2 linked regions of the Sus scrofa genome follow. The protein of the gene in region 1 interacts with the protein of each later gene in a pairwise test. Links are inferred from orthologs where the notes say so. Each region holds a gene or a part of one and is shown on either strand. Other genes may lie near its edges.

The links.
Region 2: the proteins of DRAP1 (region 1) and NFYB interact in binary tests that used the Homo sapiens proteins (3 or more experiments, as listed by UniProt). The two-hybrid records come from large-scale screens. The link is inferred for Sus scrofa from reciprocal best matches to the Homo sapiens genes DRAP1 and NFYB.

Annotation. Positions count from the first base shown.
Region 1 is NC_010444.4:6,409,028-6,413,460, reverse strand, and holds DRAP1 (dr1-associated corepressor), read left to right. Parts: upstream 1-1,525; 5' UTR 1,526-1,806; coding exon 1,807-1,848; intron 1,849-2,094; coding exon 2,095-2,167; intron 2,168-2,281; coding exon 2,282-2,375; intron 2,376-2,656; coding exon 2,657-2,984; intron 2,985-3,195; coding exon 3,196-3,284; intron 3,285-3,625; coding exon 3,626-3,731; 3' UTR 3,732-3,838; downstream 3,839-4,433. Other genes in the region: C2H11orf68 (UPF0696 protein C11orf68 homolog), read right to left, coding at 1-573, 1,263-1,429. UniProt on the Homo sapiens protein: The association of the DR1/DRAP1 heterodimer with TBP results in a functional repression of both activated and basal transcription of class II genes.
Region 2 is NC_010447.5:80,333,040-80,337,512, forward strand, and holds the start of NFYB (nuclear transcription factor Y subunit beta), read left to right. Parts: upstream 1-1,473; 5' UTR 1,474-2,010; intron 2,011-3,434; 5' UTR 3,435-3,514; coding exon 3,515-3,520; intron 3,521-4,473. UniProt on the Homo sapiens protein: Component of the sequence-specific heterotrimeric transcription factor (NF-Y) which specifically recognizes a 5'-CCAAT-3' box motif found in the promoters of its target genes.

The sequences.
Region 1 (4,433 bases):
GCGGCATCTGCCTCCAGTACACCCAAGCGGTCCGTGAAGTCGTCCGTATAAACACAGATGACCTGCCGCCCACCCTCCTTGGCCCGTGGGCTCACCTTGGCTACCTGAAGCCGGCCCTCGACCACGGCTCGAGCAATGCCAGCCCAGGCGTGATCCAGCTTGAAGCCAGGTGCCAGGTGTATCAGCCATTTGCCCGAGAGCACGTGGTGGGTGATGGCCAGCTGGCGCAGGGTACCTGGTGTGACGGGGCGCCCGCTGGTCTGCAGAGCCTCCCAGGCTGCCTGCAGGCCCTGCACGTCGCCTGAGTTGGGGACATAGCCCTGCCCATATGCTGCAATCCAGCCCACGGGCTCAGAGTTGGGAGAGCCAGGGTCCCCATAGCGGGTAACCTGGGATGGTGGGTACTTGGCCAACCAGGCATCCAGCTCCGTGGCAGGTGTGGTTCGGGCATCAAACACCAGCCAGGGGTCCATGTCAGCTGCCATGGCCTCTGCGGCCAGGTGCTCAGCAGTGAAGCCATCTTCACGACCACCTGGAGAATCTTCATCCTCCAGCTCCTCGCCTGGTTCCATCCTGCCGGGTGGGAACCAAGTTAGGGCAGGTCCAGGACAGATCCAGCTTCCTGGGCCTGAGCACGTAGGTGCCAGGCACTGAACTAATCCCTGCGGCCTTGGGCAAAACTTAATGTCTCTGTGCCTCAGTTGCCTCATCTGTACAATGAAAAATAGCTGCTCCCGTCTCAAACAGCTGTAGAGAATTAAATACTAGGAGGTGGAACAAGAACTATATAAATGCTGTTACTATTATCACTACTATCCTTGACCTACAGAGTAGGAAACTGAAGCTCACAGAGGAGGGGGCTTACCCAAGGTCACACCTGCAGTGCGTGAAAGGGCCGAAAAGTGAACTCGGGTGTGGGGGCCGCCGGCCCAGCTGCGGCTCCCGACGCTGCCAAGGCAGGCGGGTCTCCCGGGCGCTGGGATGTAATGGAACGAGGCACCCCGACAGGCCCCACAGGGCCAGGCCTCCAGGCGGGCGTTATCCCGCCTACTTAAAGACGAAGACATGCAGGCCAGAGAGGGCAGTGACCAATCCGAGGCCAACGGGCCGAGCCCGGACTCGAACCCAGGCTTGTTAGAGCCTGCGGGAGGGCCAGCCTCCCGCCCCGCCGCGCCCGCCGCGCCCGCCGCCATTAGTGCTCACGGCCCGAGCAGCGCCCCTGCCCCGCCCCGCCCTGCCCCCTCCCGCCGCCCGGGCGTCACCTCCGGCCTTCGCTGCGCTCGGCGCCGGCCCAGCCCCGGGCCCGGCTCCGCTCCTGCCGGGGCTCCGCGCCGCCGCCGCCGCGCCCCGCCCCCGCCACGGCTGCAGCCGCCGCCGCCATCTTATTGCCCCGCCGCCTCAACAACAACTTTATAGACAAGCGCAGCATAGGGCGGGACCGGGGGGAAGGGGCAGGGCCGTCGGGGCGGTGCTGACCCCGGGGGCGGGGCCATTGGGAACGCGAGGCGGGGCGGGCCTGCGGGGGGCGGAGCTAACGTTCGCTCTTCAGGTCTTGGGGGCGGGCGGTCGCGGCCGTCCAGTCCCGGACAGACGCGCACCGGGCGGGAGGCTGTGAGGGGAGGGCGCTCGGGCCCCGCCGGCCGAGTGCTGACCGGCGGCGCTAGGACCCTGTGGGGGGAGTGGCGGGGGCGGAGGAGGCGGCACCAGGACCCGGGGGAACCGCGGCGGGCGGGCGACGAGCAGGCCCGGGGGCCGGGAGGCTGCGGGCGGCGGCGCTGGGCCCGGCGCGGCGAGAGAGGCCCCGAGATGCCGAGCAAGAAGAAGAAGTACAACGCGCGGTTCCCGCCGGTGAGCACGTGGCCGGCCTCGGGAGGAACGAGCCGGGCTCTCGGGAGGCTCCGGCCCAGGCCCGGCCAGGGAGGCGGGCGCATCGCGCCGTTCGGGGGCCCGGACGCCCCGCCCCCTTCCGTGCCCTCTCCGCGTCGGTGCCCCCCGCCCCCTTCCTCCCGGGATGCTCCCTCTCTCTGCCCCCCGCCCCGCGCACCCTTTCGGGGGCCGCGGCGACGGGGTCCGAGCTCTCTGCCCCTTCCTCAGGCACGCATCAAGAAGATAATGCAGACGGATGAAGAGATTGGGAAGGTGGCGGCAGCTGTGCCTGTCATCATCTGTATCCTGTCGAGGGCTGGCTGGGTTGAGGGAGGCGGGGGAGGCCGGCAGCCCCGGGTCGCTTTTTGGGGGCCAGGACATTGTTAGAACCCGCGTTCGCCTTGACGACCCTCAGCTCGGGCGCTCGAGCTTTTCCTGGAGTCACTGCTGAAGAAGGCCTGCCAAGTGACCCAGTCTAGAAATGCCAAGACCATGACCACATCCCACCTGTGAGTGGCTCCGATCTGGGAGGGCTCGTGTGGGGCCTCCGCCCGGAGTCCACACGCTTAGGGGAGGCTGTGCCCTGATAGGGAGGGAGGTGGGAGGCGGCTGGGCGAGGACTCAAAGGCTGGTAGGTTTGAGTTGGCAGGGACTGGGTATTCTAAGAAAGGGGGCATGGCTGGGATTGAAACGATCCAGGCTCTGTTCCCCTGACATCCAGAGAGCACTTTGCTGAGAGTACAGACATCTGTGCCTCACCTGAGTGCCATTCCCTCCCCACCTCTTCCAGGAAGCAGTGCATTGAGCTGGAGCAGCAGTTTGACTTCTTAAAGGATCTGGTGGCCTCTGTGCCTGACATGCAGGGAGATGGGGAAGACAACCACATGGACGGGGACAAGGGTCCTCGCAGGTGGGGAGTCAGTGTCCATGTGGGGAAGGCCAAGGCCCCCGGGGTTGGAGGTGTCTTGGGGGATGGCAGAGGAGTGGGGAGACCTCTGGGCAGATGGACTCCACCTTCCCGAAGGGGCCGGAAGCCAGGCGGCGGCAGCCGGAAGAACGGTGGCATGGGAAGCAAAGGCAAGGACAAGAAGCTGTCGGGGACAGACTCGGAGCAGGAGGTGAGCTGAGGCCCCAGCCCTCTGTCCTGCCTTGCAGGGTGGAGAGGGCAGCCTTGCATCAGGCCAGGCCCAGCTGGCTGGAGGCCTGGTCCCATCCTCACCTGTGACCTCTTTGTGTTGGTTGCCTTGCACATGGCGGCTGCAGAGGTCCGGCTTTCCAGTAATGGGCCCACGCCTTTCTTGTCGCCTCTGATTCCTGTCTTGTTCCCAGGATGAGTCTGAGGATACAGATACTGATGGGGAAGAGGAGACATCACAGGCCCCATCCCAGGCCAGCCAGCCCCCTGCCCACTTTCAGAGGTAAGCAGGTCGGTGGCACCCAGAGGGGGCCAGCTGGTCCCCAGCTGCCTTGTCCTTTCTGACCGCTCAGGCGCCTTGGTTCTGTTGGTTGTGGCAGATTTGGGAGACGGGACGGGAGGAACTGAAGAGGACTTAACGGCTGGGTTCTGTGCTCTCAGAAAGTCCCCTCCCCCGGGCAGGGCTGTGTGCCCTGGGTCCTTCCCTTCTCTGGGCTCGGCTCCCTGCTGGTAGAGGGCAGTGGGCTCCAGGCCTGCCTGGCTGGAGGACCGGGTGGGGCTCAGCGGGCAGGACTGGGCACAGGTGAGTGGCCTGATCTTCCTTTCCCACTTTCTGCCCTGCAGCCCCCCGACACCCTTCACGCCCTTCACCTCGACTCTGCCTCTGCCCCCAGCGCCCCAGGTCCCCGCAGCACCTGACGCAGAGGACGAAGAAGATTATGACTCCTAGCGCCCTCTGCCCCCCAGGCCACACCCCCTTTTAGCTGCTCTGGGGGGAAGAGGGTAGAGCTGTTCTTAAATTTATTAAAAAAAAAAATAAAAGGGAATTCCAGTATCCGTCCCAGCTCTTGTCCAGGGCCTAATGGCCTCCTTCCCCACACTGAGCCAGGGCCAGGGCGGCTGGGCAGCAGCTGACTGAAGGGGGCCGGGCCCGGGGTGCTGATGGCGGGAAGGTGGGCAGAGTGCTGGAGGGCCTGAGCCGGCAGGTGCCAGTCATGCCGGGAGACAGCCTGTCTTGTTGTGCCCTGTGACCCTGGGCGGGTTCCTACTCTGAGTAGCCTGTTCTTGTCTCTCTGAGGGAGACCATTCTGCCCCCTCTGGGCTGCTGCAGAGAGACAGATGGGACAGGTGACAGAGACAGCTCTTGAAAACTAGAGCTGGAGCCAGTGCCCTTGAAGGGCATGTGGGAAGGGCAGCGGGAGCAGAGGTAGGTGAGGTCATGGGGGACCTGGAAGGCCGGCTTGTGAGCCCCCAGGGGCCCTGAGCAGACCCTGGAGCTATGCATACGAGGCCGATGAGGCGGATGTGTTGTGTTCAGGGAGCAGCGGCCTGGAGAGGCCAGGGCAGCGATGGGCAGCCTAGAGGTCCGGGTTGCCCACAGACGTGAGTGCTGATGGAAGGGGCTCCTCAAGGACTCGGGTGTCTTCGCGTG
Region 2 (4,473 bases), on another chromosome or scaffold:
TACACAGACGCAGTCAGGGAAAGACAGGCAGAGAGCCTGGTTGCGCGGAGGCAAGAAGGGGCCATGGATTCTGGCAGCTCAAATATCATCTGGTTGGGAAAAGCCACATGGCATGTCGCAAATACTGTGCGGGTGGGGCATATGCAACATTTTAAGCTGGGGTGAAGGCTGGCTGGACTGAGCAGGTTGTTAAACCTAAAGCAGAGGATTGTATCTTTAGGTGAAATCTGAAAAAACGAACGGGGAGCTCGGTGACCGAGAGGGAGCGTTGTGCATGTGGCAAACTTAACAGGGGCACAAGGCGAACAGCTGGCGCTGAAAGCATACCAGGAGGTAATCGCCGTTCAGATCCACCCTGTAGCTCGAGTGTCGCCTGGCCGGCAGCTTTTGCCCTTGGTTTCCCCTTCTTAAAACTCGAGGCGCAGGCAGGCTGCACTTTGGCGGGTGAGACACTTCCACGTGCGCCAGGGGAGGGGATGGAAAAGAGAGGGAGAGCTGAGAAATCATGCGCAAGACGTGGGGAAAATACCGCGGAAAGCCCGCACTGACCTTAGCACCGAGCCCCAGCCCTAGTCCCTGCCGAGGAAAAAGCCACCCGCGGGCTCCGCTCGCGCCGCAGGACCGACTCGCGGCGGCCTGCAGCGGGCTCTGCGGGCTGCTCAGCGCACGGGGCGGGGCTGGGGGCGGGGCCGTGCCGGGGCGGGGCCGCGCCGGGCGGGCGCGCGGGAGCTGCGGAGGGAGGGTGTCGCGCCGAGGGAAGCGGCCCGCGGCGGAGGGAGGGAAGGCCGAGTCCTGGAAGCGGAGCTCCGCGCTGGGACTGGTTCCTTCGCAGCCATTTTCTGTCCAACCAAACAGCCGATTGGAGACGGGAGCCAACCAGGGCTGCATTGGAGGTTTGTGTCTCGCTTCGGCCAATGATCGCTCCTAAACCGACTCCACTTTAGCTCGAATGAAATGTCCGTCTCCTCCCGGCGCCGTCCCCGCCGCCAACGCCGCCGCGGCCGGGGGCACTTGGCTCACTCCCGCCTGCCCGCCCTCCCGCCCGGGCCGGGGCCGGGGCCGGGCCGGCGCCTGCGAGGCCTCCCCCGCTGCGGGCCCGGCTGGGAAGCGGGCGCTGGGCCGCGGCGCGGCTCTTTGTGCGCCCGGCCGAGGAGCGGCGGGACGCGGGCCAGGCCGCCTCCTGCTCGCCGCCGCCGACCTCCGGGCCCGAGGCCGAGGAGGGGGCGCCGGGGCACCGTCGGGCCCCGCTCTCGGTGGCGTCCGGGCCGGCTCCATTTTGTGTGGCGAGCCGGCTGGGGGCGGGAGGATGCAGCCTGGACCCCCGGCCCCGATCCTCCTCCTCCGCCGCGCGGGGGCTCCCGGGGAGCGCCCCTCTTCCGCCCGCCACTCCGCGGGGGCATGGCAGGGCCGGGCCGCTTTGTCTGCCCCGGCACCCCGGGCGCCGCGCGGCGGGCGGGCGTTAGGCGCGGGCCCCGGGCCTGAGCCGGCCGAGTAGGGGGGATGCCTGCCCGGGGTGTCCGCGCCGCCCAGGCGGGACCGACAGGTCGGCCGGGCGGACGGTGGGACCCGGGCCAGCCCGCGCACCTTCGTGGGGAGGAAGCGAGGTCCCCGGGAGGAAGGAGTGGATTTGGTTTCCCCGCAGTCTGGTTTACGCGTATAGAATGCAGCCATCTGGCGGCTTGCGGTCCCTGGACTTGCCCCGAAGGTGGGAAGGAAGCCTTCCGGATTGGACTAAGGTTTTAATCTTCGGTGGGAGGCGGGGAGGATATACCGGGCCTCAGGAGTAGTCTTGGAGAACAAAGAATTAGAAGAGCACCTACAAGACGAAATCTCGCCCAGAGTACTCTAAAAGATGGTTTAAGCAAGGTTAAGTAGCATATGACCTTTTAAAAAATAGCATCCCAGCCTGCATGGACTGCACGGTTCCGTGCCACGAGTCACTGGGGTGGTTTCGGCTCTCTTGTATGGAGACAAGTCAGAAATACAAAGTGATGAGGTGAACTGATCAATGTAAGTGGCATTAACAAATAGGGGGTTTTATTAGTAAAGTTTAACCAAAATTCCTTAAGAGGCAATTATTCCGTTCTCACTCTGCTCCCGTAGTTCAATTTAAGGCTTATATTGGTGCAAAACTCTGGTTGTTGATGCCAAAGAATGGAGGGTGGAGGAAGGGTCTGCTGCTTTTCTTGGATACAGATTTCTTTAAACATTAAACATATGTATGCATTGCCTTGAGCTTTCACATATATCATAACCTGCCTGTAAGAAAATATATACCATGTGAGGTGATAGTGTTTCTCTTTAATATATTGAATCTAAACATATACTGACTCAACTATTTGGGTGAGTGATTGTGGTGAGGTGTGGCACCACCCCAACCCCCAGCAAAAATACATAAATATAGACAGCTCCTGTATTTTAAGTGTTCTGAGGATCTCTCTCCTCCCCCCACGGCACCTTTAAAAAATGACACTTCTAGCTACGAGGAAGGAATTTTCTGGGCAGCTTTGGGGTTAGAGTGAAGATGATATTTGGAAAGAAATTAGAAATTGCTTTTGGGATTACAGAACAGTAGACAATGTCAGCCAGTCTTTGCTGCATGGACCCTTGTAGTAGCATTTGAAAATTCAATTTGGTGGTTAGAGTTTTTTCTGTTTGCTAGATTTCATGCTTGAATGCATATCAGTATTTTGTCTTCTTTTAAAAATTAGCACAGAAAGGATATGTCTTTGTCTCCCCCCCCTTTTTTTCCCTTGAAAAAAGGGGAAGAGCAAATGAGAATGGAAATTGTAACATCGTAATTGATGCCAATTTATTCAACTATTTATGCCTTACAGTGAGAATGAAGTGCTATTGAGATGCAATTTTAGTCCCAAATGGTGATGCTTTAAAATAATACAGGTCTTAATTGACTGTATTCTCTTTCTCTGGATGTTCTCTGGGCAACATGTATCTTCTTCCCGCTATAATCTGAGATATTTAATTGGAAAGCATTATATCCTGAGATAAACTTGTCTTCCCTTTTGAGCTTTTGAACCCTAAATCTCACTCTAAAACATAAGGAAAGCCATCAGTAAAAATTAAGTTGATAAGTGGGATATTTGTGTCTTGGGTGTTGATATGTAATTTTTGGCCTCTTGCGTATTATATAATTTGGTGTGTTGTGATGAATATTTATGATGAACATGACTAAATATAGGGCTTTGTTGGAAAAGCCGTACTTCCCCCAATAGCATGAACTTTTATAAGTCCTCCAAAATACGTCTCCCAATTTAACAAACATTTATTGGGTGCTTGCTTTTTGAACCATTTTAGAGCCATGCAGTTCATTAAATAAGAATAGTAGGTAAAATTATACATGCCTTTTTAAATTTTACTAGGAAGAATGCCTTTGGGCTATAGTTTTACACTACTGATAGATGTTTGTCTTCTAGGTTGAAATTGGCAAAGATCAGACACCTTTTTAGACAGGTGTTCTGGAGTAGCACTGACAACACGGTTCACCCAGTATTTCATGACAGTAAGTATGTTTTACTATTCTGGTTATTAATTAGATTTGAATAGTAATTAGCTGGAAACAAAATTAGACCTGATTTAGATCAGAGATTCCTGATAGGATGAATGCCTTGCAAGGCCAGACAGTAGCTCTCCTCATTCATTTTGCTTCCGTTTTTTTAGTGACTTGCATGTATTAAGTGTTTCCTTTGGGCCTCTAAGTGTTGTCGAGGCTACAGGGTGAAAGGCTGTCACAGCGCTCGAGAGGCTGTCTGTTTAACCGGGAGGACTTTAGTCAAATTGAATACTTAGAGGAGAGTCATGTGTGGAATAGGAAATGCTAGCTCTAAGGGTAGCACAAATGAAAATAAGAGAGGTGTGGTAGGCCTGGGTAGTTGGGAATGTCATGGAGGGAGCCTTTAGGGCTTGAACTGAGCCTTGACGCATGAGTAGGAATGGACAGGTAAGGGCATCACCAAAAGCAAAAGCCTGAACGCAGGGGTGAGTGCCTTAGGTTTAGTGATTGGGAAATAGATCTGCATGGTCCAGGTGGGGATTTAACAAGATAATCTAGTGAAGAGCTACCACTTGGCCTGTCTGGATACCTAGTTCTGGATCTGCTACCACATCTGTGATATGAGGCATGTCACAACTTCCTTGAGCCATGATTGCCTTACTCCTAAAACAAAAGAACTGTACCTAGTGATCCCTAAATAAAGCACATTCTAGCACAAAGATTTTTATCAACTCTGAAGATTGAGTTGCAAACTAATTTAGTTAAAGTGAAATAGGGGGATCACTCATGTAAAGCCATGAAAACTAGGTTTGGATTTGATGCAGAAGACTTTTAGAACCATTTTGGGTTCAAAAGCTATGGAAGCAATATTTCAATGAGAATAGTCTTAAAATAGTATGTATTCAGTAGGTTGGGTCGTAATCCAGTGGAAAAAGGCAAGGAAGGGCATATCCAGAAAACAT